Anolis sagrei: one gene and its partners. The protein of the gene in region 3 purifies or fractionates together with the protein of the main gene of each other region. This does not show direct contact. Links are inferred from orthologs where the notes say so. Each region holds a gene or a part of one and is shown on either strand. Other genes may lie near its edges. The genes, in order: RAP1GDS1, DAAM1 and RHOC.

Region 1 (7,001 bases), on a different chromosome or scaffold from region 3:
ATTGACAAAGAAGCCTGGAGGCTTACAAAAATATCAGGAGAGGTATAATGCAAGTTGGCTTTATCACGTGGGAAAACATGACGAAGAAGAAAGACCTGATCTCTTGAGAATTTAAGAAACCCAAAAGCAAAGAAATATCCGGATGTGCTAAGCCAACATGTTTCGAGAGGTAATTGATGAAACTGATATTCTGTATATCTAAGCAGGATATAATAGATGCAAGAGAAGCCTTGCAATGAGCTGCAGCAAATACTTGGCAAGTAATTTTGGAGAAGGCTGGGTATACAGCAGTGGTTCTCAACCTTTTTCTTTCTTTTTTTTTTTGACCAGGGACCACTTTGGCCACTCTCCAACATTAGTTCCAAAAGCGTTACGAATCAGTCTTTGGTCAACTTTAGATTCGGTTTGGTTATTTGGGGCACTGATTTAGAAAACTGCATTGGATAGACCACATCAGTTCTAGTTTCTGATACAGAATAAATGCCATCCAGTAGTCGCCCTCTGCGCGCCCACAGAAAACCTTTTTTAATCATCTAGAGCTGATGTGGTAGTAGTAATCTTTCATGGGTAGTCAGCCTCTCCTTTCCCAACATCCCCGTTGCCTCGGAACTATAAGAGTTTCTCGAAACCAGTCGCTCTTGTTGCTGCGTGGTTTCGAGGCAACAGTGTAGTAATGGTGAGGCCATGGACCATATTATCCTTCTTGAGGACCACTGGTAGTCCACAGGGAACCACTGCCTTAGAAAGATGCTCTACCATCCAATAGTTGCCATCTGCTAACCCACAGAAAACCGTATTTAATAATCTAGAGCTGCGGATCTTATTATAGGTCTTGCAGCCCAGCAGTGGGCTATAGCCCACAGGTTGGGAACCACTGGTGTAGAGGCTTCAGTGTTGGATGACTCTGGAAACCAGGGTGTGGTGGTCCTCTGCTCAAGCAGCAGGTGACCTTGGGCAAGTCACACTCTCTCAGCCTCAGAGGAAAACAACACAAATCTCCTCTTGCTAAGAAAAACCTTGTGACAAGTTTTGCCAAAAATGGGAAATGACTTGAGGTCACACAACAACAACAACAACAACAACAGGTACTTAACTTGATAAGGTGCTTTATCCTTTTTTCCTCCAAACTCTGGATCAGAGATGCCTCTCCACCAGGCAAACTTCGGCCCTCCAGATGTTTTGGACTTCAACTCCCACCATTCCTAACACCATTCCTTCAACTCCCACCATTCCTGTTTTGGACTTCAACTCCCACCATTCTTCCTAAGTAAGAAGAAGACCCCTTGTACTTTATTAGGAGTTCATCCATGTGTTTTGAAACACAGTAACTGGTTTGCTTGGGTCTAAATTATAACTTTTGTTAAATTCTGCAATTATTTGAATATGAAAGGAAAATAATAAAATGCATCTGTGCTGTCCTAACCGGCTGTTAGGAATGGTGGGAGCTGAAGTACAAAACACCTGGAGGATCAAAGTTTGCCCAGGCATGTTTTACACTGTAAAATGAATGCAGTTTGAAACCACCGGGTTGTAGGTTTTTCGGGTTGTATGGCCATGTTCTAGAAGCATTCTCTCCTGACGTTTCACCTGCATCTGTGGCAAACATCCCCACAACCTCTGAGCATGCTTGCCACAGATGCAGGCAAAACGTCAGGAGAGAATGCTTCTAGAACATGGCCATACAAAAACCTACAACAATCCAGTGATTCCGGTCGTGAAAGCCTTCGACAATAGTTTGAAACCACTTTGGCTGCCATGGCTCAATGCTCTGGAATGGTTACGAGTTGTAGTTTGGTGTGGCACCAGCACTCTTCAGCAGGGAAGGCTAAAGTCCTTGTGATGCTACAACTCCCAGGATTCCTTGACATTCCATGAGCCATGACAGATAAATCGGTACGAAACAGCATTGACTGTACATTGACTGTAAGAACTCAACTCCACATGCATGGGTGGAGAATGAATGCAGTTTAACAGCCTTGTCTACACTGCTATATAATCCAGGTTTGACATCTACTCCACATGCATGAGTGCATCCACAACTCAACTCCACTTGCATGGGTGGAGAGAATGAATGTAGTTTAACAGCCTTGTCTACACTGCTATATAATCCAGGTTTGAAATCTACTCCACATGCGTGGGTGCATCCATAACTCAACTCCACTTGCATGGGTGGAGAGAATGAATGCAGCTTAACAGCCCTGTCTACACTGCCACATAATCCAGGTTTGAAATCAAGTCCACATGCATGGGTGCATCCACAACTCAACTTCACACGCTTGGGTGCATCCATGCTGCAGAATGAATGCAGTTTAATCAGCCCTGATTGAGGTCATATAATCTGGATTCAGGTTTGAATCGGATTATATGTCAGTGTAGATCTGGCATGGGCCAACTTCGGCCCTCCCTCCAGGTGTTTTGGACTGCAACTACCACAATTCCTAACAGCCTGCCGGCTGTTAGGAATTGTGGGAGTTGCAGTCCAAAACACCTGGAGGGAGGGCCGAAGTTGGCCCATGCCAGATCTACACTGACATATAATCCGATTCAAAGCAGATCACATGGATTCAATGCAGATGGATCCACCCTCAATGACATGAAACCTTTTGGGGGGCAGAGAAAAAAGACCTCCCAGGACTCCACAGACAGCCTCGAGCCATGACCAACCCAAGTGGCATGAAACTGCGTTAACTCTCCAGTGCAGATGCACCCAAGGGCTCCACCCCACTCCCAGCACTTCTGCTTCCTCCTCGCAGAAGCAGAATTGAGACTTACCCATGTCTCCGCCAAAGAGAGGAATGAAACAGGAGAGAGGAGGCGCTTCCCTCCCTCCTTCCTTCTTTCCTTAGCTCTCTCTCTCTTCCTCCTTTCCTTGGGATGAAGGAAGGGAAAGGTGGGGCCCGCGAGAGGCCAAAAAGGTTCTGTGTGTGTGTGTGTGCGAGAGAGAGAGAGAGAGAAGCAGGCGCGCGCTCCGCGACTGAGGCGTGTGCGGGGTCCCCGTGCACGCGCCGCCCGGAGAGGAGCCTGCGCGCGCACCTCCTTCCTGGCCCCGAACCCTGTTAGAATCCAGGCACGACTTTCACTGCCCCGTGGGATCACGGGGGTTGTAGTTCCGAAGCCGCGCCGGCGCGCTTTGCCAAAGGAGAGTTAAAGGCCCCCGCTGAACTACCACTCCCATGATCCCACGGCCTTGATCTCTCTTAAAGGAGGCGGAATAATAATAATAATAATGAGAGGGCTGGAAAGCCACTGCGCTTGGAAGGACCCCGCCTTGCTCCTAAAGAGAACATAGTGATAATTGAACTCCAACTTGCAAAAGTGGAACCCCCCAATGTGGATTGACATATCAATTTAGTATTTAGTATCTGCCTTTTCAAAATAGTGATTTTTTAAAAAATTGAAAAATTTTGCAGGAATATAATCATAGAATCAAAGAGTTGGAAGAGACCTCATGGGCCATCCAGTCCAACCCCATTCTGCCAAGAAGCAGGAATATTGCATTCAAATCACCCCTGACAGATGGCCATCCAGCCTCTGCTTAAAAGCTTCCAAAGATGGAGCCTCCACCGCACTCCGGGGCAGAGAGTTCCACTGCTGAACGGCTCTCACAGTCAGGAAGTTCTTCCTCATATTCAGATGGAATCTCCTCTCTTGTAGTTTGAAGCCATTGTTCCTTGTCCTAGTCTCCAAGGAAGCAGAAAACAAGCTTGCTCCCTCCTCCCTGTGGCTTCCTCTCACATATTTATACATGGCTATCATATCTCCTCTCAGCCTTCTCTTCTTCAGGCTAAACATGCCCAGCTCCTTAAGCCGCTCCTCATAGGGCTGGTTCTCCAGACCCTTGATCATTTTAGTCGCCCTCCTCTGGACACATTCCAGCTTGTCAATATCTCTCATGAATTGTGGCGCCCAGAATTGGACACAATATTCCAGGTGTGGTCTAACCAGAGCAGAATAGAGGGGTAGCATTACTTCCCTGGACCTAGACACTAGGCTCCTATTGATGCAGGCCAAAATCATGTTTAAATTACTGTATATACTCAAGTATAGGTCTAGTTTTTCAGCCCTTTTTTTAAGCTGAAAAAGTCCCACTCGGTTTATATTCGAGTCAAGGTTATTTATTATTTTACCCTGTTAGAAATACAAAATAAATGTATTGTTATTGTTGTTGTTACATTGATCATTCTACTTTATTATTGTTTTTATTATATTTGTTATTTTATTCTATTATTATTTTATTTTATTTATTATGGTTACTTCTACCCCGCCCTTCTCAACCCGAACGGGACTCAGGACGGCTTACAAAGGCACAATTCGATGCCAGCATCACATAACAGTAGTAAACAAATAGCAACAATTAACAAATTAAACATTACAACAATAAAACCAATACAAACCCAATTACTCCTCATTGACGGTCAGCGTTCGCTATCTCATAGTCCAAATTCCAATTCCACATTGTCAGTCTTGTCAGTCCTAATCGTCTGATTGTCCTTATCTACTTGTCAGATTGCCCAAAGGCCTGGTCCCACAACCACGTCTTTACTTTCCTCCTGAAGGAGAGGAGGGATGTTGATGCCCTAATTTCCCCCGGGAGTGAGTTCCACAGGTGAGGGGCCACCACTGAGAAGGCCCTGCTCCTTGTCCCCACCAACCTTACTTGTGATAGCGGTGGGGTCGCGAGCAGGGCCTCCCCAGATGATCACAAACTCCGGGGTGGGATGTAGAGGGAGATGCGTTCGGACAGATACACTGGACCCGAACAGTATAGGGTTTTGTAGGTCAAAACCAGCAACTTGAATTGTGCTTGGAACTGGACCGGCAGCCAATGGAGCTGACACAGCAGGGGGGTGGTGTGCTCCCTGTATGACGCTCCAGTGAGTAGTCTGGCTGCCGCTCGCTGGACCAGTTGAAGTTTCCGAACAGTCTTCAAGGGCAAACCCACGTAGAGTGCGTTGCAGTAGTCTATTCGGGATGTAACAAGAGCGTGGACCACTGTGGCCAGATTACTGTTATAATTACATTTTCATTATTTATCTCTATTATTATTATTAGTAGTAGTAGTATACTTATTATTTTGCTCTACTTTTATTGGAAGGATATGCAAGTACATTTACATTGAAGAAGGTTAGAATAATGATTTAATCAGAGGTCCACAGTCTAATCTTAAATTATAGTTTTATGTAAATATTCAAAACATTTAACCGGCTGATGCCTCAATTAATGCAATTGTATTGTATCTATTTTTATTTTGAAATTTACCAGTGGCTGCTGCATTGCCTACCTTCAGCTTATACTTGAGTCAATACGTTTTCCCAGTTTTTTGTGATAAAATTAGGTGCCTCGGCTTATATTCGGGTCGGCTTATACTTGAGTATATACGGTAACTTTGGGTATTTTTAGGCATTCAGCTTTGTTGCGTGGGACAGATAATTACTGCCAAATGTAAATAGTTTTTCACTATATAGCATTATTTTATTTATTTACTTACTTATTTAATATATTTGTATACCGCCCTTCTCAGCCCGCAGGCGACTCAAGGCGGTTTACAGGGGCAACAACTAAATGCCCAACAACACCATAAAAACATTTCAAACATTTCAAAACATTAACATCTATATGTAATGTTCGTTTGTGGGATTAACATACCATATATACACGAGTATAAGCCGACCCGAATATAAGCCGAGGCACCTAATATTACCACAAAAAACTGGGAAAACTTATTGACTCGAGTATAAGCCGAGGTGGGAAATGCAGCAGTTATTGGCAAATTTCAAAATAAAAATAGATATCAATAAAATTACATTAATTGAGGCATCAGTAGGTTAAATGTTTTTGAATATTTATATAAAACTGTAATTTGAGTAAATGTGCTTATGTATCCCTCCAATAACTATAAAGAGAGTAAAATAATAATATAATAATAATATAATAATAATAATAATAATAATGAAATCCAGCATATATACCTCATTTGCTGTGCCATACTTTGTTTTTGTGTCAGGATAATAATAATAATAATAATAACAATAATAATAATAATAATAATAATAGAGTAAAATAATGGAAATGTAATAACAGTAAAATTATAAATGCAGTAACAATAAAAATAAAGTAAAATAATAAATGTAATAATAAAAAGAGTAAATAAATAATAATACTACTAATAAACAGAGTAAAATAATAACTGTAATAAAGTAATAATACTGTAGAGTAAAATAATGTAAATATAATAATAATTAATATATTAAAATAATTCATGTAATAAAATTATACTAATAACAAAGTAAAGTGATAAATAACTTTGTCTCGAGTATCAGCCGAGGGGAACTTTTTCAGCCAAAAAAGGGGGCTGAAAAACTAGGCTGCAAGGGGGTGTCAGAACGGTCACCAAAGGGGGTGTCAGAAGAGTCACCAAAGACAACCAGAAAACACAGTATTTTCTGTTGGTCATGGGAGGTTCTGTGTGGGAAGTTTGGCCCAATTCTATCATTGGTGAGGTTCATAATGCTCTTTGATTGTAGGTGAATTTGGGAGCAACTACAACTCCCAAATGTCAAGGTCTATTTTCCCCAAACTCCACCAGTGTTCACATTTGGGCATATTCAGTATCCGTGCCAAGTTTGGTCCAGATCTATCATTGTTTGATTTCACAGTGCTCTCTGGATGTAGGTTAAATACAACTCCAAAACTCAAGGTCAATGCCCACCAAACCCTTGCAGTATTTTCTGTTGGTAGTGGGAGTTCTGTTTGCCAAGATTGGTTCAATTGTGTCATTGGTGGAGTTCAGAATGGTCTTTGATTGTAAGTTAACTATAAATCCCAGTAACTACAACTCCCAAATGAGAAACTCAACCCCCCCCCCCCAACCCCACTAGTATTCAAATTGGGGCGTATCAGGAATTTGTGCCAAATTTGGTCCAGTGAATGAAAATACATCCTGCATATCAGATATTTACATTATGATATGCAACAGTATATTACAGTTATGCTTAGCTTGG
Region 2 (7,786 bases), on a different chromosome or scaffold from region 3:
CAATATGTACCGCTCCGGTGGGAAGGTAAGGACACTCCATGCGGTCATGCTGACCACATGACTGCAATTCCACTTCCCCTTTGATCTATGGAGTGCCCTGGGAGTGCAGTGGGTTAAATTGCTGAGCTGCTGAACTTGCTGACCAAAAGGTCACAGGTTCAATTCCTTGGAGTGGCATGAGCTCCCACTGTTAGCCCCAGCTTCTGCTAACCTAACAGTTCAAAAACATGCAAACGTGTGTAGATCAATAGGTACTTCTCGGGCAAGAAGGTAACGGTACTCCATGCTGTCAGGAAGGTAACGGCACTCCATGCAGTCATGCTGGCCACATGACCTTGGAGGTGTCCATGGACAACGCCGGCTCTTCGGCTTAGAAATGGAGATGCGCACCAACACCCAGAATTGGACATAACTAGACTGAATGTCAGGGAAAAACTTTTATCTTTTATCTATCTCCCTATCAATGCACCTAATTCTCTTCTCCTGCTGCTGGTGGCGCAGCGGGTTAAACTGCTGAGCTGCTGAAATTGCTGACCAAAAGGTTGGGAAACCTTTACCTTTACCTTTGATCTATCTCCCTATCAATGCACCTAATTCCCTCCTCCTGCTGCTGGTGATGCAGCAGGTTAAACTGCTTAGCTACTGAAATTGCTGGCCAAAAGGTTGGCAGTTCGAATCTCAGGAGCAGGGTGAGATTCCACTGTTAGGCCCAGCTTCTGCCAACCTAGCAGTTCAAAAACATGCAAATGCGAGATCAATAGGTACTGCTTCTGTGGGAAGGTAACAGCGCTCCATGCTGTCATGCCGGCCACATGACCTTGGAGGTGTCTATGGACAACACCGGCTCATCGCCTTAGAAATGGAGATGATCACCAACCCCGAGAGTCAGACACGACTGGCCTTGATGTCAGGGGAAAACATCTACCTTTGATCTATCTCCCTATTGATGCACTTAATTCCCTTCAGTCGGCAATATCAATAATCTGTTAACAAAATGTGCTCCAGGGAATGAAAACTATCCAAAAATGAAGCAGGAACTCCCCTATGTGTGTGTAGTCTTGATCTATATCCTATGATCCATGCCTGCTTCTAGTCCAAACTGTGTTGCTTCTTCCCCTACAAGAAGACCTACAAGTCACTCTAAACACCTTCGCAGAAGCATACGAGAAGCTCGGCCTGTCATTGAACATCGAGAAAACCAAAGTGCTCTTCCAGCAGTCACCAGCCAATCCCTCTCCAATACCAGAAATACAGCTTAATTGTGTAACATTAGAAAATGTTGATCATTTCCAGTCCCTTGGCGGCCACCTCTCCACAAAAGTCAACACTGAGACCGAAATACAACACTGCCTGAGCTCTGCGAGTGCAGCTTTTTTCCAAATGAAGCAGAGAGTGTTTGAGGACCGGGACATCCGTAGGGATACCAAGGTGCTTGTTTATGAAGCTATTGTCCTCCCAACCCTGCTATATGCCTGCGAGATGTGGACTGTCTACAGAAGTCACATGCAACTCCTGGAACGATTCCATCAGCGCTGCCTCCAGAAAATCCTGCAAATCTCTTGGGAAGACAGGCGGACAAATGGTCCTCTGTCATCAACCCTGCTGGACTGGCCATGTTGTCCAGATGCCCGACCACCGTCTCCCAAAGCAGTTGCTCTACTCCGAACTCAAGAACGGAAAACGAAATGTTTGTGGACAGGAAGAGAGATTTAAAAATGGGCTCAAAGCCAACCTTAAAAACTCTGGCATAGACACTGAGAACTGGGAAGCCCTGGCTCTTGAGCGCTCCAGCTAGAAGTCAGCTGTGACCAGCAGTGCTGTGGAGTTTGAAGAGGCAGAGAGAGAAACGTGCCATGAGGAAGGCGCGTCAAGATGGCCTCACAACCAACCTTAAAACTCTGGCATAGACACTGAGAACTGGGAAGCCCTGGCCCTTGAGCGCTCGAGCTAGAAGTCAGCTGTGACCATCAGTGCTGTGGAGTTTGAAGAGGCAGGAATGGAGGGTGAAAGAGAGAAACGTGCCAAGAGGAAGGCGCGTCAAGATGGGCTCAAAGCCAACCTTAAAACTCTGGCATAGACACCGAGAACTGGGGAGCCCTGGCCCTTGAGCGCTCGAGGTAGAAGTCAGCTGTGACCATCAGTGCTGTGGAGTTCAAAGAGGCAGGAATGGAGGGTGGAAGAGAGAAACGTGCCAAGAGGAAGGCGCGTCGCGCCTTCCTCTTGGCACGTTTCTCTCTTTCGCCCGCCATTCCTGCCTCTTCCAATTCTACAGCACTGATGGTCACAGCTGACCTCCAGCTGGAGCGCTAGTCTTTCCTGGAACCCGGGGTTGGCATGACGCGCCTTCCTCTTGGCACGTTTCTCTCTTTCGCCCTCCATTCCTGCCTCTTCCAATTCTACAGCACTGATGGTCACAGCTGACCTCCAGCTGGAGCGCTAGTCTTTCCTGGAAACAGATACCCTCACTGCGGAAGGCAGATGATGCAGATCGAGCCCATCCACACTTTAGACGCAATGGACATCCACCTCCACTGGAGAAGGGAAGAAGAGCTGCTTCCCAAATCTGCTGCCCAAAACCAAGGGTTCTTCCTCAAGAGCATCAACCAGGAAGCCCCTTCTTTGCAGGGGAAGCAGCTGGAGAGGTGCCTCAACGCCCCCAACCCAACCCAGCCCTTCTGCCCCTTCCTTCCTTCCTCCCTCTCCCTCCGGCATCCGGGATGAATGGGAGGGAGAGAAGGAGGGAGAGAAGGAGAGAGGGAGGCGCCCACCCTCCCTCCCTCCCTTCTCTGCTCGGCTTACCTGGTGCCGCAGCCCCTGCCCAGGCGCATCCTTCTTCTCCTCCTTCTCCTCCTCCTTCTCCTCCTCGCCGGAGCCCCGCAGGGACGCCAAGGGAGCCAGCTCACTCGCCCTCCCTCCCCGCCTCCCGCGGACCCAGCTGCGCCTCCTCCTCCTGCCTCTCCTCTCTCCGGCTTCTCTCCCTCTGTGGCTTCTCTCTCCTTCTCCTCTTCCTCCGGCCAAGCCGCCGCCGAGCCTTACAAGCCCGCGGGTGACATCATCCCCTCCCGCCCTGATTGGACGCCCCGGCCAAGCAAGCCACGCCCCCTCTCTCCGCCGCGCTCCTCGCCGGGAAATGGAGTCCTCGATCGGTTTCCCGCAGGGAGTCGGCTCTGATGAAAAGACTACGTTTCCCGGCAAGCCGCGCGTGGTCCAGCTTCCCCCGCCCTTCTCCTGCTTGGCCAGATGCAGCTTGCTGGTTTCCTGGATGCCGGTTGCTGCACAAGGCATAATCTGCAAGATATATATATATATATGTGTGTGTAGTGTATAGTACGTGCGAATATCTGCACACACAAATATAGACACACATAATGTACACACATATATGCACACACGTATATTCACATACATATATACACGCACGCACATATACACACAACAAACATGCACACATATATATACATATAAAACACTAAAACTCATACATTGACAAATATATACACAGACATATATACATGCACACACATAGACACACATACATAAACATATACACCTAACTATATATATATGCATACATACACACACATGCACATAGCATGCACACACACATATACACATACAATACATACATATATATACACATAAAACATTAACACATGTAACACACACAGACACATATACACATACAACACATACACACAATAAACATGCACACATACATATACATATAAAACATTAACACTCATACATAGACACATATATACACACATAATACACATGCACACACATAGACACACATACATAAACATGCACCTAACAATATATACTTACTTACTTACTTACTTAGGCGATCCCTCGTTGGACGAGTAAGATGGTCTTCCATTTTGGATTTCCTTGTGGGTCCGTAGGTGGCTGTGGAGCCCTATTCTTGCTCTGCATCTTCTTCCGCAGTGAGGGCATTGGTTTCCAGGTGGAAGGCGTTCCCGGTCGGGGTTGGCTTGACGCGCCTTCCTCCTGGCACGTTTCTCTCTTTCACCCTCCACTCGTGCCTCCTCGAATTCTGCAGCACTGCTGGTCACAGCTGTCCTCCAGCTGGAGCGCTCAAGGGCCAGGGCTTCCCAGTTCTCGGTGTCTATGCCAGAGTTTTTAAGGTTGGCTTTCAGCCCATCTTTAAATCTCTTTTCCTGTCCACCAACGTTCCGTTTTCCGTTCTTAAGTTCGGAGTAGAGCAACTGCTTTGGGAGACGGTGGTCAGGCATCCGGACAACGTGGCCGGCCCAGCGGAGTTGATGTTGGAGGACCATCGCTTCAATGCTGGTGGTCTTTGCTTCTTCCAGCACACTGACGTTTGTCCGCTTGTCTTCCCAGGAGATTTGCAGGATTTTCCGGAGGCAGCGCTGATGGAATCGTTCCAGGAGTTGCATATGACGTCTGTAGACTGTCCACGTCTCACAGGCATATAGCAGGGTTGGGAGGACAATGGCTTTATAGACAAGCACCTTGGTCTCCCTACGGATGTCCCGGTCCTCAAACACTCTTTGCTTCATTCTGGAAAATGCTGCACTTGCAGAGCTCAGGCGGTGTTGTATTTCGGCGTCGATGTTGACTTTGGTGGAGAGGTGGCTGCCAAGGTAGCGGAAATGGTCCACATTTTCTAATGTGACACCATTAAGCTGTATCTCTGGCATTGGAGAGGGATTGGCTTGTGACTGCTGGAACAGCACCTTGGTTTTCTCAATGTTCAGTGACAGGCCGAGCTTCTCGTATGCTTCTGCGAAGGTGTTTAGAGTGGCTTGTAGATCTTCTTCTGAATGCGCACAGACGACATTGTCATCAGCATACTGGAGTTCTATAACAGATGTTGTTGTAACCTTGGTTTTGGCTTTCAGTCTGCTGAGGTTGAATAGCTTGCCATCTGTCCGATAGATTATTTCCACTCCGGTGGGAAGCTTCCCATCAACAAGGTGAAGTATCATAGCGATGAAGATGGAGAATAGAGTTGGGGCGATAACACATCCCTGTTTGACACCGGATTCCACCTTAAATGGGTCACTTTGGGAGCCACTGCTGTCCAAAACTGTTGCCATCATGTCATCGTGGAGGAGCCGCAGGATGTTCACAAATTTGTTAGGGCACCCGATTTTGTGGAGGATGGTCCAGAGCGCGCTGCGATTCACTGTGTCAAATGCCTTTGCAAGGTCGATGAATGCCATGTACAGGGGTTGGTTTTGTTCCCTGCATTTTTCTTGGAGTTGTCGTGCAGTGAAGATCATGTCCACGGTTCCTCTGGAGGGGCGGAAGCCGTTCTGGGATTCTGGGAGGGTGTCTTCTGAGAGGGGCAGAAGGCGGTTTGCAAGGATTCTTGCGAGGATTTTCCCAGCGGAGGTTAGAAGGGAGATACCTCGATAGTTTCCGCAGTCTGTTCTTTCCCCTTTTTTGAAGAGGGTGATGATGGTGGCGTCCTTGAAATCTGCTGGGATTTTCTCGGTCACCCACACTTTTTCTATGAGCTGGTGGAGTTGGTGTGTTAGCTCAGGTCCTCCCTCTTTAAAGATTTCAGCAGGGATCCCATCTGGTCCACTGGCTTTGTTATTCTTCTGTTGGCTGATGGCATTGCTGACTTCTTCCAAACTAGGCAGTGCTGCAAGCTCATCCCTGGTTTGTTGTTGTGGGATTTGTGAGAGGACCTCGTCGGCCACATTGGAGCTGCGGTTCAGGAGGCTTTGGTAGTGTTCTTTCCAACGTAGTGCAATTGAGTTTTGGTCCTTCAGGAGTTTGGTTCCATCTGATGAGCGTAGAGGCTGTATGCCATGGTTTCTTGGTCCATAGATGACCTTTGTGGCTTTGAAGAATCCCTGAGCATTATGGGTATCTGCCAGGTGTTGGATTTCTTCGGCCTTCTTTGTCCACCAGATGTTCTTGAGTTCTCTTGTCCTTCTTTGGACCTCAGCTTTTGCACTGGCATAGATCTTTTTCTTAGCAGCACAGTTGATGTCTCTCTGCCATGCTTGGAAGGCTTTCCTTTTCTTGTCAATTAGCTGTTGGATCTCGATGTCATTTTCATCAAACCAGTCTTGATGTTTCTTGGCTTGGTATCCAATAGTTTCTTCGCAGGCTTGGATGATGGAGGTCTTCAGTTTGTTCCAATGTTCCTCAACATTTTCGGGGTGTTCTGTGGGTAGATGGTCCTTGAGTGCTGTTTGGAGATGGGCTTGTCTGGAGGGCTCCTGAAGGGCTTGGGTGTTCATTTTGCGCCTTGTCTTCCTTCCTTGGAGTCTGCGCTTGGGGGCGATCTTGATAGCCATCGAGGATCGAATTAGCCTGTGGTCGGTCCAGCAGTCGTCAGCACCTGTCATGGCTCTTGTGAGGAGCACGTCACGGCGGTCTCTGGCGCGTGTGATTACATAGTCTAAGAGGTGCCAATGCTTTGACCGGGGGTGCTTCCATGATGTCTTGAACTTGTTTTTCTGGCGGAAGAGCGTGTTGGTGATGACAAGGTTGTGCTCCGCACATTTGGTGAGAAGCAGGATGCCATTTGAGTTACTGTTTCCAACCCCGTCTTTTCCAATGGTCCCTGGCCACAGGTCGAAGTCTCGCCCGACTCTTGCATTGAAGTCCCCCAGGAGGATGATTTTGTCCCCCTTAGGTATCCCCGATAGGACGGTGTCCAGCTGACAGTAGAATTTCTCCTTGATGTCTTCGTCAGCATCTAGTGTTGGTGCATAGGCACTTATGATGGTTGCCCGTTGGTTTTTGGCAAGATCGATTCGGAGGGTTGAGAGTCGTTCGTTGATGCCAGTGGGTGCTTCGGACAGATGTTTCACCAGATCGTTTCTGATGGCGAAGCCAACTCCGTGCATTCTTTGGTCTTCTTTGGGCAGTCCCTTCCAGAAGAAGGTGTAGCCTCCTTTTTCTTCTTTCAGCTGTCCCTCTCCTGCTCTCCGGGTCTCCTGAAGGGCTGCTATGTCGATGTTGAAGCGTCCCAGCTCCCTTGCAATGATGGCAGTTCTGCGTTCGGGGCGTTCACTGCCACTGTTGTCCATCAGAGTCCGTACGTTCCACGTACCGAAGTTCATTTTTCTTTTTTGGCCGCAGGGTGGTGACCCCACTGGACGCGGCAGTCCAGTCAGGGATGAGTGAGGCAGACTATGTTTGGGGCACCTTTTCTAGCCCCCTCCCCATGTGGGGTGAGCAGAGTGGGTCCTGAATAGGGCTGCTCAGTCGTGGATACAGCTGCCGAACTACTCAACTGCCTCGGACCTTGAGGTAGAACGACTGAGTCCGTACCCACCGCCCATGTGCCAGTCTGTGACTAGGGGCTTCCAGATTTCACAGTCCTGCCCCCGTCGCCACTCGCTGATCGCCATGGGACTTTGGTTGGTTGGTTTTTATTTTCTTTGGAAGACGCCTGTGCGTGGATTTTTTTAATGTGTGGAGGTCAGTGCACAACTGATCAACACACAGACTTCACAGAGTGAGGTTCCACTGGTGATGTAGTTTAACACAATGACCGTGGCTTCTCAGTCTGTTGCAGCCTTCTTCCGCCTTCGCAGCCGTTGTAACATGTGCCATGTTATCCTCCGCCTGCTCCGCCGTTGAGGTCTTTGGGTCTTCGGACTGTGCTTGGTCTGGGACCTCCCCCGCGGCCACTCCTGGGAGTGCACGACTCCAGTTGTTGTGCCCACAGGTTCATCGGAACACGCAAGCCCCCTCACCACGACAAGGTGACAGTCCATCGAGGGGGACCTAACAATATATATATATACCTAACAATATATATATATACACA
Region 3 (7,845 bases):
GAGTTCCATAGATGAAGGGCCACCACTAAGAAGGCCCTGTCTCTTGTCCTCACCAACAGTGCCTGCGGAAGAGGTGAGACCAAGAGCAGGGCCTTCCAGACGATCTTAACCTCCGAGGTGGAACATTGATCCATTTGGTTTAACCCAGATTCTCATGCCATCAACAGTGATTCTGAAACTCCCTGTGCATGGACCAGGCCTGCAATGTGAAGCTGCCTATATAAAAGGGCATTAAAAACTATCAAATGAATAGATATGCATTTTAAAAATAAAATAAAATAAAACAGCAGTCGCTGTGAAATGTGCTCTTCCCTGGCTGTTGTCCTTCCTTGCCACATCATTAATTTCTTTCCACTTGTCAACTTCTACCCATCCTACTGTACTAGCAATAGGTCATTGGATGCATCTACATCAGGCCTGGGCAAACTTGGGCCCTCCAAGTGTTTTGGACTTCAACTCCCACAATTCCTAACAGCCTCAGGCCCCTTCCTTTCCCCCCTTAGCCGCTTAAGCTGAGGTGCCTCTTGGTTCTAGAAAAAAGGCAGGATGGAAATAAAGCTACATACAATCAAATTCTAGTATCTCGGGAAAACATTCCACTTGTTTCTCACGAGTTCTATCTTGAGCTGAGTGGGTGAAGTACTACATGAATTATAAGAGGTGCATCTACACTACAGAATGAATGCAGTTTGACACCACTTTAACTGTCATGGCTCAGTATTATAGAATCATGAGAGTGGTCGTTTTGCCTTCTCTGCCAAAGAGTGCTGGTGCCTCACCAAACTACAATTCTTATGATTCCATAGCATTGAGCCAGAACAGTTAAGGTGTTGTTATACTACATTCATTTTAAAGTGTAGTTGCTTTCCTATGCCATCAGGTTACAAAAATTAGGAATGCTAACCGTTAAAGTGATGTCAAACTGCTTTAAATGTACTGTGCAGTTACACCACTGGCATACTTCCCATTTGGTTCACTGGGGATGCATTGACACGGTGGCATAAATGCTGTTTGACACCACTTTACCGCCATGCTATGGAGTCATGCATAGAATTTCAAAAAGTCTGTCACCTTTTCTGCCAAAGAGTGCTGGTGTTTCACCAAACCCCAACCCCGAGGATCCCATATTGTTGAATCATACCTGTTAAAGTGGGATTATGGTAAAGGTAAAGGTTTCCCCTTGACATTAAGTCTAATTGTGTCCGACTCTGGGGGGTGGTGCTCATCTCCATTTCTAAGCTGAAGAGTTGGCATTGTATGTAGATGCCTCCAAGGTCATGAGGCCAGTATGACTGCATGGAGTGCTGTTACCTTCCTGCTGAAGTGGCACCTATTGATCTACTTACATTTGCATGTTTTCAAACTGCTAGGTTGGTAGAAGCTGGGGCTAACAACAGGAGCTCACCCCGCTCCTAGGATTCAAACCGCCAACCTTCCGTGGATTCAAACCACTGAACTTCCGGTCAGCAAGTTCTGCAGCTTAGTGTTTTAATCCACTGCACCACTGCAGCTCCCTCAGTGGGGTTAAACCGCATTAATTCTACAGCATATACACAGCATGAGGCAGGATAGACACAGCTCCCACAATACAATAAGTGTGTATACACGTGTGCTTCAAGTCATGTGTCAACTTATGGTGACCACATGACATTTGTAGGGCTTTCTTCTTGTGGAGAGAAAAAGCAGGGCATACTTATTATTATTATTATTATTATTATTATTATTATTATGAAAGGGCAAAAGAAGATGATGAGGCATTATATAATAATAATAATAATAATAATAATAATAATAATAATACGATAAACATTGACAAAGTCACGATCTGTCAACTGCAAAAGGCCACCTTACTTGGATCTGCATGCATCATTTGAAAATACATCACACAGTCCTAGATGCTTGGGAAGTGTTCAACTTGTAATTTTGTGATACGAAATCCAGCATATAGATCTCATTTGCTGTGACATACTGTGCTTTTGTGTCAATAAAATAATAATAATTCTTAGGAAAAGAATGAGTGAAAGGGCGAAAGAAGAAGATGAGGCACTTGCAGTCATTGCATCCATTTTGGGCTGGATCCACTCTGCCAAATAATAGCTTTGAGCACTTTTAAAATCAGTTCTAAGGATCTGAACTGCTCATTTTGAATGAAGACCATTGATGTATGTGCAAACAAACTCTAAAATCATAACAGTAAATAAAAAACAGGGAAATTCCAGACAATAAACAATCAGGAACACTCTCAACAAAGGATTCCCCCAGGCTGGAAACAGCCAGGCTTTGAAGCTGCGAGGCCATTCAATGCTAATCAAGATGGCCAACTGAAACATTCTCACCTACCTCCAACAGACAAGAGTTCTTTCTCCCACCCTGGGCATTCCACAGATATATACACCCCAATTTCGTAGCTTCCAACAGACCTCACAACCTCTGAGGATGCCAGTGAAAGGTCAGGAGAGAATGCTTCTGGAACATGGCCAGACAGCCCAGAAAACACAAAACAACCCAGTGATTTCAGCCATGAAAGTATTCGATAAGACATTGATGTTCCATTCCATGTTAATGTTAGTATATTTTAGGCTTTTACATTATACTGGAATGCTTTTAATGTGAGTCTCCTTTTGTGGAGAGAAAAAGCGGGGTATAAATAAACATCACCAGCACCATCATCATGCAGTTTGAGCTGCATCATCATCATCATCATCACTCTCATCATCCTCATGCAGTTCGAACTACCCTGAGCTGCATTCTATGGCAGTGGATGGGTCCAGCCTCAGTCTCTGAGGCGCGACAAGAGCCCTTGGCGAAGTGATACCCAAGTAATCTCTGGATCTCACCAGCAGGTGAGGTCCCAAAAGGTGCCTCCGGGGCCTTCTCTCCCCCACCCCCATACGACCCCCACCCCCACCCGGTGCCTTTACCTTGCTGGGAGCGGCCGTCCCCTCCGTCCGACTCGACCCGAAGAGAGAGGCGGAAACTCCGGACGACTGACCCAAGGCTTGGCCCCGCCTCGAAGGAGGGGCTGGGGCCGAGGAGGGCGTCGCTGTCCTGCCCCCGAGAGGAGTTTGGGGAGCCCTTCGCCTAAGGCAGTGGCCCTCCTCGACCTTCCTAATGGCGCCACCCCTTCAGACAGTCCCTCATGCTGTGTTGTGTTGACCCCCGACCACAACATGATTTTCCTTCCTACTTCAGAACTGTCATGTTGCTCCTGTTCTGAAGCATATTATAAATCTCTGATAGGCAGGATGTATTTTCAGTCACTGGACCAAATTTGGCACAAATACCCGATACGCCCAAATTTGAATATTGGTGGGGTTGGGGGAAGATTGATTTTGTCATTTGGGAGTTGTAGTTCCTGGGATTGATAGTTCACCTACAGTCAAAGAGTATTCTGAACCCCACCATGGATGGAATTGGACCAAACTTCACACACAGAACCCGCATGAGCAAGAGAAAATACTGGAAGGATTTGATGGGCATTGTGTTTGGGAGTTGTAGTTCACCTACATCCAGAGAGCACTGTGGATTCAAACAATGATGGATCTGGACCAAACTTAGCGTGAATACTCAATATGGGGTTTGGGGTCATGGGGTTTGGGGAAAATAGACCTTGACATTTGGAAGTTGTAGTTGCTGGGATGGAACTGAACCAAACTTGGCACATTTGGTAGTTGCTGTTGCTGGGATGTATGCTATAAACAAATAGCATTTCGAACCCTACCAATGCTAGAGTTGGGCCAAACTTCCCACACAGAACCCCCATGATCAACAGAAAATGCTGTGTTCCTTGATGGTCTTTGGCAATCCCTCTGACACCCAAATGTGAATACTGGTGAAGTTTAGAGAAAATAGACCTTGGCATATGGGAGTTGCAGTTGCGGAAATTTATAGTTCACCTACAATCAGAGCATTCTGACTCCAGTAACAATGGAATTGGACCAAACTTGGCACACAGAACTCCATGACCAACAGAAAATACTGGAAAGGTTTGGTGGGCATTGACCTTGAGTTTTGGAATTGTAGTTCACCTACATACAGAGAGCTCTGTGGACTCAAACAATGATGGATCTGGACAAAACTTGGCACAAATACTCAATATGCCCAAATGTGAGCACCAGTGAAATTTGGGGAAAATAAACCTTGACATTTGGAAGTTGCAGTTGCTGGGATTTATAGTTCACCTACAATCAAAGAGCATTCTGAACTCAACCAACGATGGAATTGGACCAAACTTGGCACACCGAATTCTCATGACTAACAGAAAATACTGGAAAGATTTGGTGGGCATTGACCTTGAGTTTTGGAGTTGTAGTTCACCTACATCCAGAGAGCACTGTGGACTCAAATAATGATGGCTCTAGACCAAACTTGGCACAAATACTCAATATGTCCAAATGTGAACACAGGTGAAGTTTGGGGAAAATAGACCTTGGCATTTGGGAGTTGCAGTTGTTAAGCTTTATAGTTCACCTACAATCAAAAAGCATTATGAACCCCACCAGCGATAGAATTGGGTCAAACTTCCCACACAGAACCCCCATGATCAACAGAATATACTGTGTTTTCTGATAATCTTTGCCGACCCCTCTGACACCCCCTCGTGAACCCTCAGGAGTCCCGACCACCAGGTTGAGCAACACTGTCCTAAGAGGAGAGAGAGAGATGGAGAGGAGAGGGGAGACAATATAGGATCATAGTTGGAAGAGACCCCCAAGGGCCAACCAGTCCAACCCCCTGCCATGCAGGAAAAACACATTCAAAGCCCTCTCAGCAGATGCCCATCCAGCCTCTGCTTGAAAACCTCCAGAGAGGGAGATTCCCTCCTCAGTTCTTAGCTTCAGGGAATTCTTACTGGAATCTCTTCTCTTGCCATTTGGATCCATTACTCCATTGGGTTGCTGTGAGTTTTCTGGGCTGTCTGGCCATGTTCCAGAAGCATTCTCTCCTGATGTGAATTGGGAGCAGCGATTAGATTTAGGTCAAATATTTAATATCAGGAGTCTGTATTTAACAGAAACAAGCCCCTTTTTTGCACGTGGTAATGCTTCCATGGAATATCCTCCATAAAAAGACTCACCTGGCACCAACTTTGCAATCTCAGACTGCATTGTAATAGGTGGTCTGTGGTTTGCTCTTCTCCACACTCACATTTCATGGACTCCACTTTGGGGCCCCATTTCTTAAGGTTGGCTCTGCATCTCATGGTGCCAGAACGCAGTCTGTTCAGCGCCTTCCAAGTCACCCAGTCTTCTGTGTGCCCAGTGGGGAGTCTCTCATTCATTATCAGCCATGGGTTGAGGTTCCGGGTTTTAGCCTGCCACTTTTGAACTCTTGCTTGCTGAGGTGTTCCTGAGAGTATCTCTGTAGATCTTAGAAAACTATATCTTAATTTAAGGCATTGGCGTGCTGACTGATATCCAAACAGGGGGTGGGTCAGAAATGTCACTGCCTTGATTCTTTCATTATTGGTTGCCTCTTCCCTGCAGATGTCAGGTGGTGCAATACCAGCTGAACAGTATAATTTTTCCATTGGTGTGATATGCGGCATATCTCATTAAGAGCCACATCCACTGTTTTGTAGTGAGAAGTGTTCCACACTTGGCATGTGTACTCATCGGCAGAGTAACAAAACGCAAGAGCAGCAACCAGAAGCGACCAGAAATCCTAATGAAGACGTGATAATGATATAAAAAGAAATAGTAAATAAATATACCATTAGGAGGTGTCATGATCATGTATGTTTTCTATGTAGTACCCAAGTAGCTACTATGGGCAGGAATTGGCAATATCCTGATTTATTTAAGAAGTTCAAGTTCAGGGCAAGATTTTGGCTCTGCTCTGTTGGGTGGATAATCGGACCAGCCTAGACTTGCCTGTCATATGCCAAGTCTTTTTTATCGAGAGACAGACATTGTCATTGACTGATTAATTGATGATCAGAAGAAAGAAAAGGATTAGGCATCTGCTTTAGATTAAGAGGAGTAGAATTTCAATTTACCTCTATTGCTTGCCAAGGAAGAATACACTTGGAGGAGCATCATACACAGTATCTGAAGTGCACCGCAATACACAAATCTGCAACACAAATTTATATTTCTTTAACTTTCCACATCCTGTTTATACTGGACCACATGTACGGAAATGAATTAAACAAGGTGTGTGCCTGAAAACTCCTGATTCTGTCTGGCTCAGTTTAACATATATATCCTTGGACAAGTAGTGGCTGCTTGGGAAGGCCAATATTGGGCAATTCTGGTTTGGATTAAAGCATGACTTTGTAATATAGCTTACAGAGCTTTGTGAGTTCTTGGCATCTTCACCTCTGCTCATGCCATCATTTTAGAGGGATGCTTCTATTGATTTCCTGGATTTCACAAAAGTCTTTCCTAAGAATTTTTAATGCTGTGTATTATTATTTTGTTGTCAAAGACCGGAATCACTGGGTTGCTGTGAGTTTTCCTGGCTGTACGGCCATGTTCCAGAAGCATTCTCTCCTGATGTTTTGCCCACATCTATGGCAGGCATCCTCAGAGATTGTGAGGTCTGTTGGAAACTAGGCAGGTGAGGAATATATATCTGTGGAATGTCCAGGGTGGAAAAAAGAACTTTTGTCTTTTTTAAACTTTGCAATTCACACTTGCCTCAAACAAAGGATTCCCCCAGGCAGGAAGCAGCCAGGCTTTGAAGCTGCAAGGCCATTCAATGCTAATCAAGGTGGCCGTTTGCAAAATTCATATCTGCCTCAAGCGGACAAGAGTTACTTCTTCTTCCCTGGAGATTCTACAGATATATAAACCCAATTTTCCTAGTTTCCAACAGACCTCACAACCTCTGAGGATGCCTGCCATTGATGTGGGCAAAACATCAGGAGAGAATGCTTCTGGAACATAGCCATACATCCCAGAAAACTCACAGCAACCCATTATTATTATTATTATTATTATTATTATTATTATTATGTTTGTGTTTATTTATACTTTTTCTCTCAGCAAGCACCTCAAAGACTCAAAGTGGTTTGGTATGATGAAAGTGGCAATTTTTCTCCTCCCTGATTTTTAAGTGTAGTTTTTACAGTTATAGTGCTATTGAGCCGAGGTTCCATTTCACTAACCTACTAGTGCTTTGTCAAGATAAAGGGAGGGTGGACATTCACAAGCACACTCAGAGAACAAAGCATACTGGTTTATTTCAATATGCCTTGCAATTTAAATCAAACCAACTGGAGAAAAGAAATAAAACGTTGGAGTCAGTGCCAGAAACTGCCAGGGCTCAATAGAAATCTTGTTTAGATTAAAGAGAGAGAGAGAGAGAGACTACAGCAATAAATACCTCAGCTTCTTGATATCCTTAACCTGCCTGAAGAGCCAATAGTATGGATTTTTAAGTGGCTTAAACTGGTCTAACTGGCTTAATGCCAAAGCTACCAACAGGAAAATTCCAGATATAATCTTGTAGTAAAAACTAAAGACAAAACAACTACAACTACCACCCCTCAAAAATGCAAGAACCCAAAAAAGAAAAACAAGAAAGAAGAAAAGTGAGACAGAGATTTGCAGTACACACGGCTTGTAACAAACCAGGCACACCAGCTTCCTAAATCTGGATGAAAGGCTTTCTCATTCTGTTTCACACGGGGATTTGGGAAAGCAAAGCTGATCTTACTTCCAGCAATAGGCTGGAACTCCTGTGAATGAGGCTGGAAAGAAAGGCCCCACAAGGCCCTTGGCTTCAACCCAGACAAACCTCAAAGCTGTTGCTGTTTATAAAAAGATTTCAGACACTGGTTCTTCTTCTTCATGTGCTCTGCTCCAAAAGAGATGTGTCCATAGAAGGAAAGGGGAAAAA

Evidence for each region.
Region 1: the proteins of RHOC (region 3) and RAP1GDS1 purify together in Homo sapiens (co-immunoprecipitation; 3 studies listed by BioGRID and IntAct, counting the BioPlex papers as one, with this or other methods). This does not show direct contact. The link is inferred for Anolis sagrei from reciprocal best matches to the Homo sapiens genes RHOC and RAP1GDS1.
Region 2: the proteins of RHOC (region 3) and DAAM1 purify together in Homo sapiens (affinity purification with mass spectrometry; 3 studies listed by BioGRID and IntAct, counting the BioPlex papers as one, with this or other methods). This does not show direct contact. The link is inferred for Anolis sagrei from reciprocal best matches to the Homo sapiens genes RHOC and DAAM1.

Annotation. Positions count from the first base shown.
Region 1 is NC_090025.1:25,786,628-25,793,628, reverse strand, and holds the start of RAP1GDS1 (rap1 GTPase-GDP dissociation stimulator 1), read right to left. Parts: upstream 3,028-7,001; 5' UTR 2,777-3,027; coding exon 2,773-2,776; intron 1-2,772. UniProt on the Homo sapiens protein: Acts as a GEF (guanine nucleotide exchange factor) for the Rho family of small GTP-binding proteins (G proteins) that stimulates the dissociation of GDP to enable subsequent binding of GTP.
Region 2 is NC_090021.1:333,954,468-333,962,253, forward strand, and holds the start of DAAM1 (disheveled-associated activator of morphogenesis 1), read right to left. Parts: upstream 3,060-7,786; 5' UTR 2,800-3,059; intron 1-2,799. UniProt on the Homo sapiens protein: Binds to disheveled (Dvl) and Rho, and mediates Wnt-induced Dvl-Rho complex formation. May play a role as a scaffolding protein to recruit Rho-GDP and Rho-GEF, thereby enhancing Rho-GTP formation. Can direct nucleation and elongation of new actin filaments.
Region 3 is NC_090024.1:200,860,379-200,868,223, forward strand, and holds the start of RHOC (rho-related GTP-binding protein RhoC), read right to left. Parts: upstream 3,027-7,845; 5' UTR 2,922-3,026; intron 1-2,921. UniProt on the Homo sapiens protein: Regulates a signal transduction pathway linking plasma membrane receptors to the assembly of focal adhesions and actin stress fibers.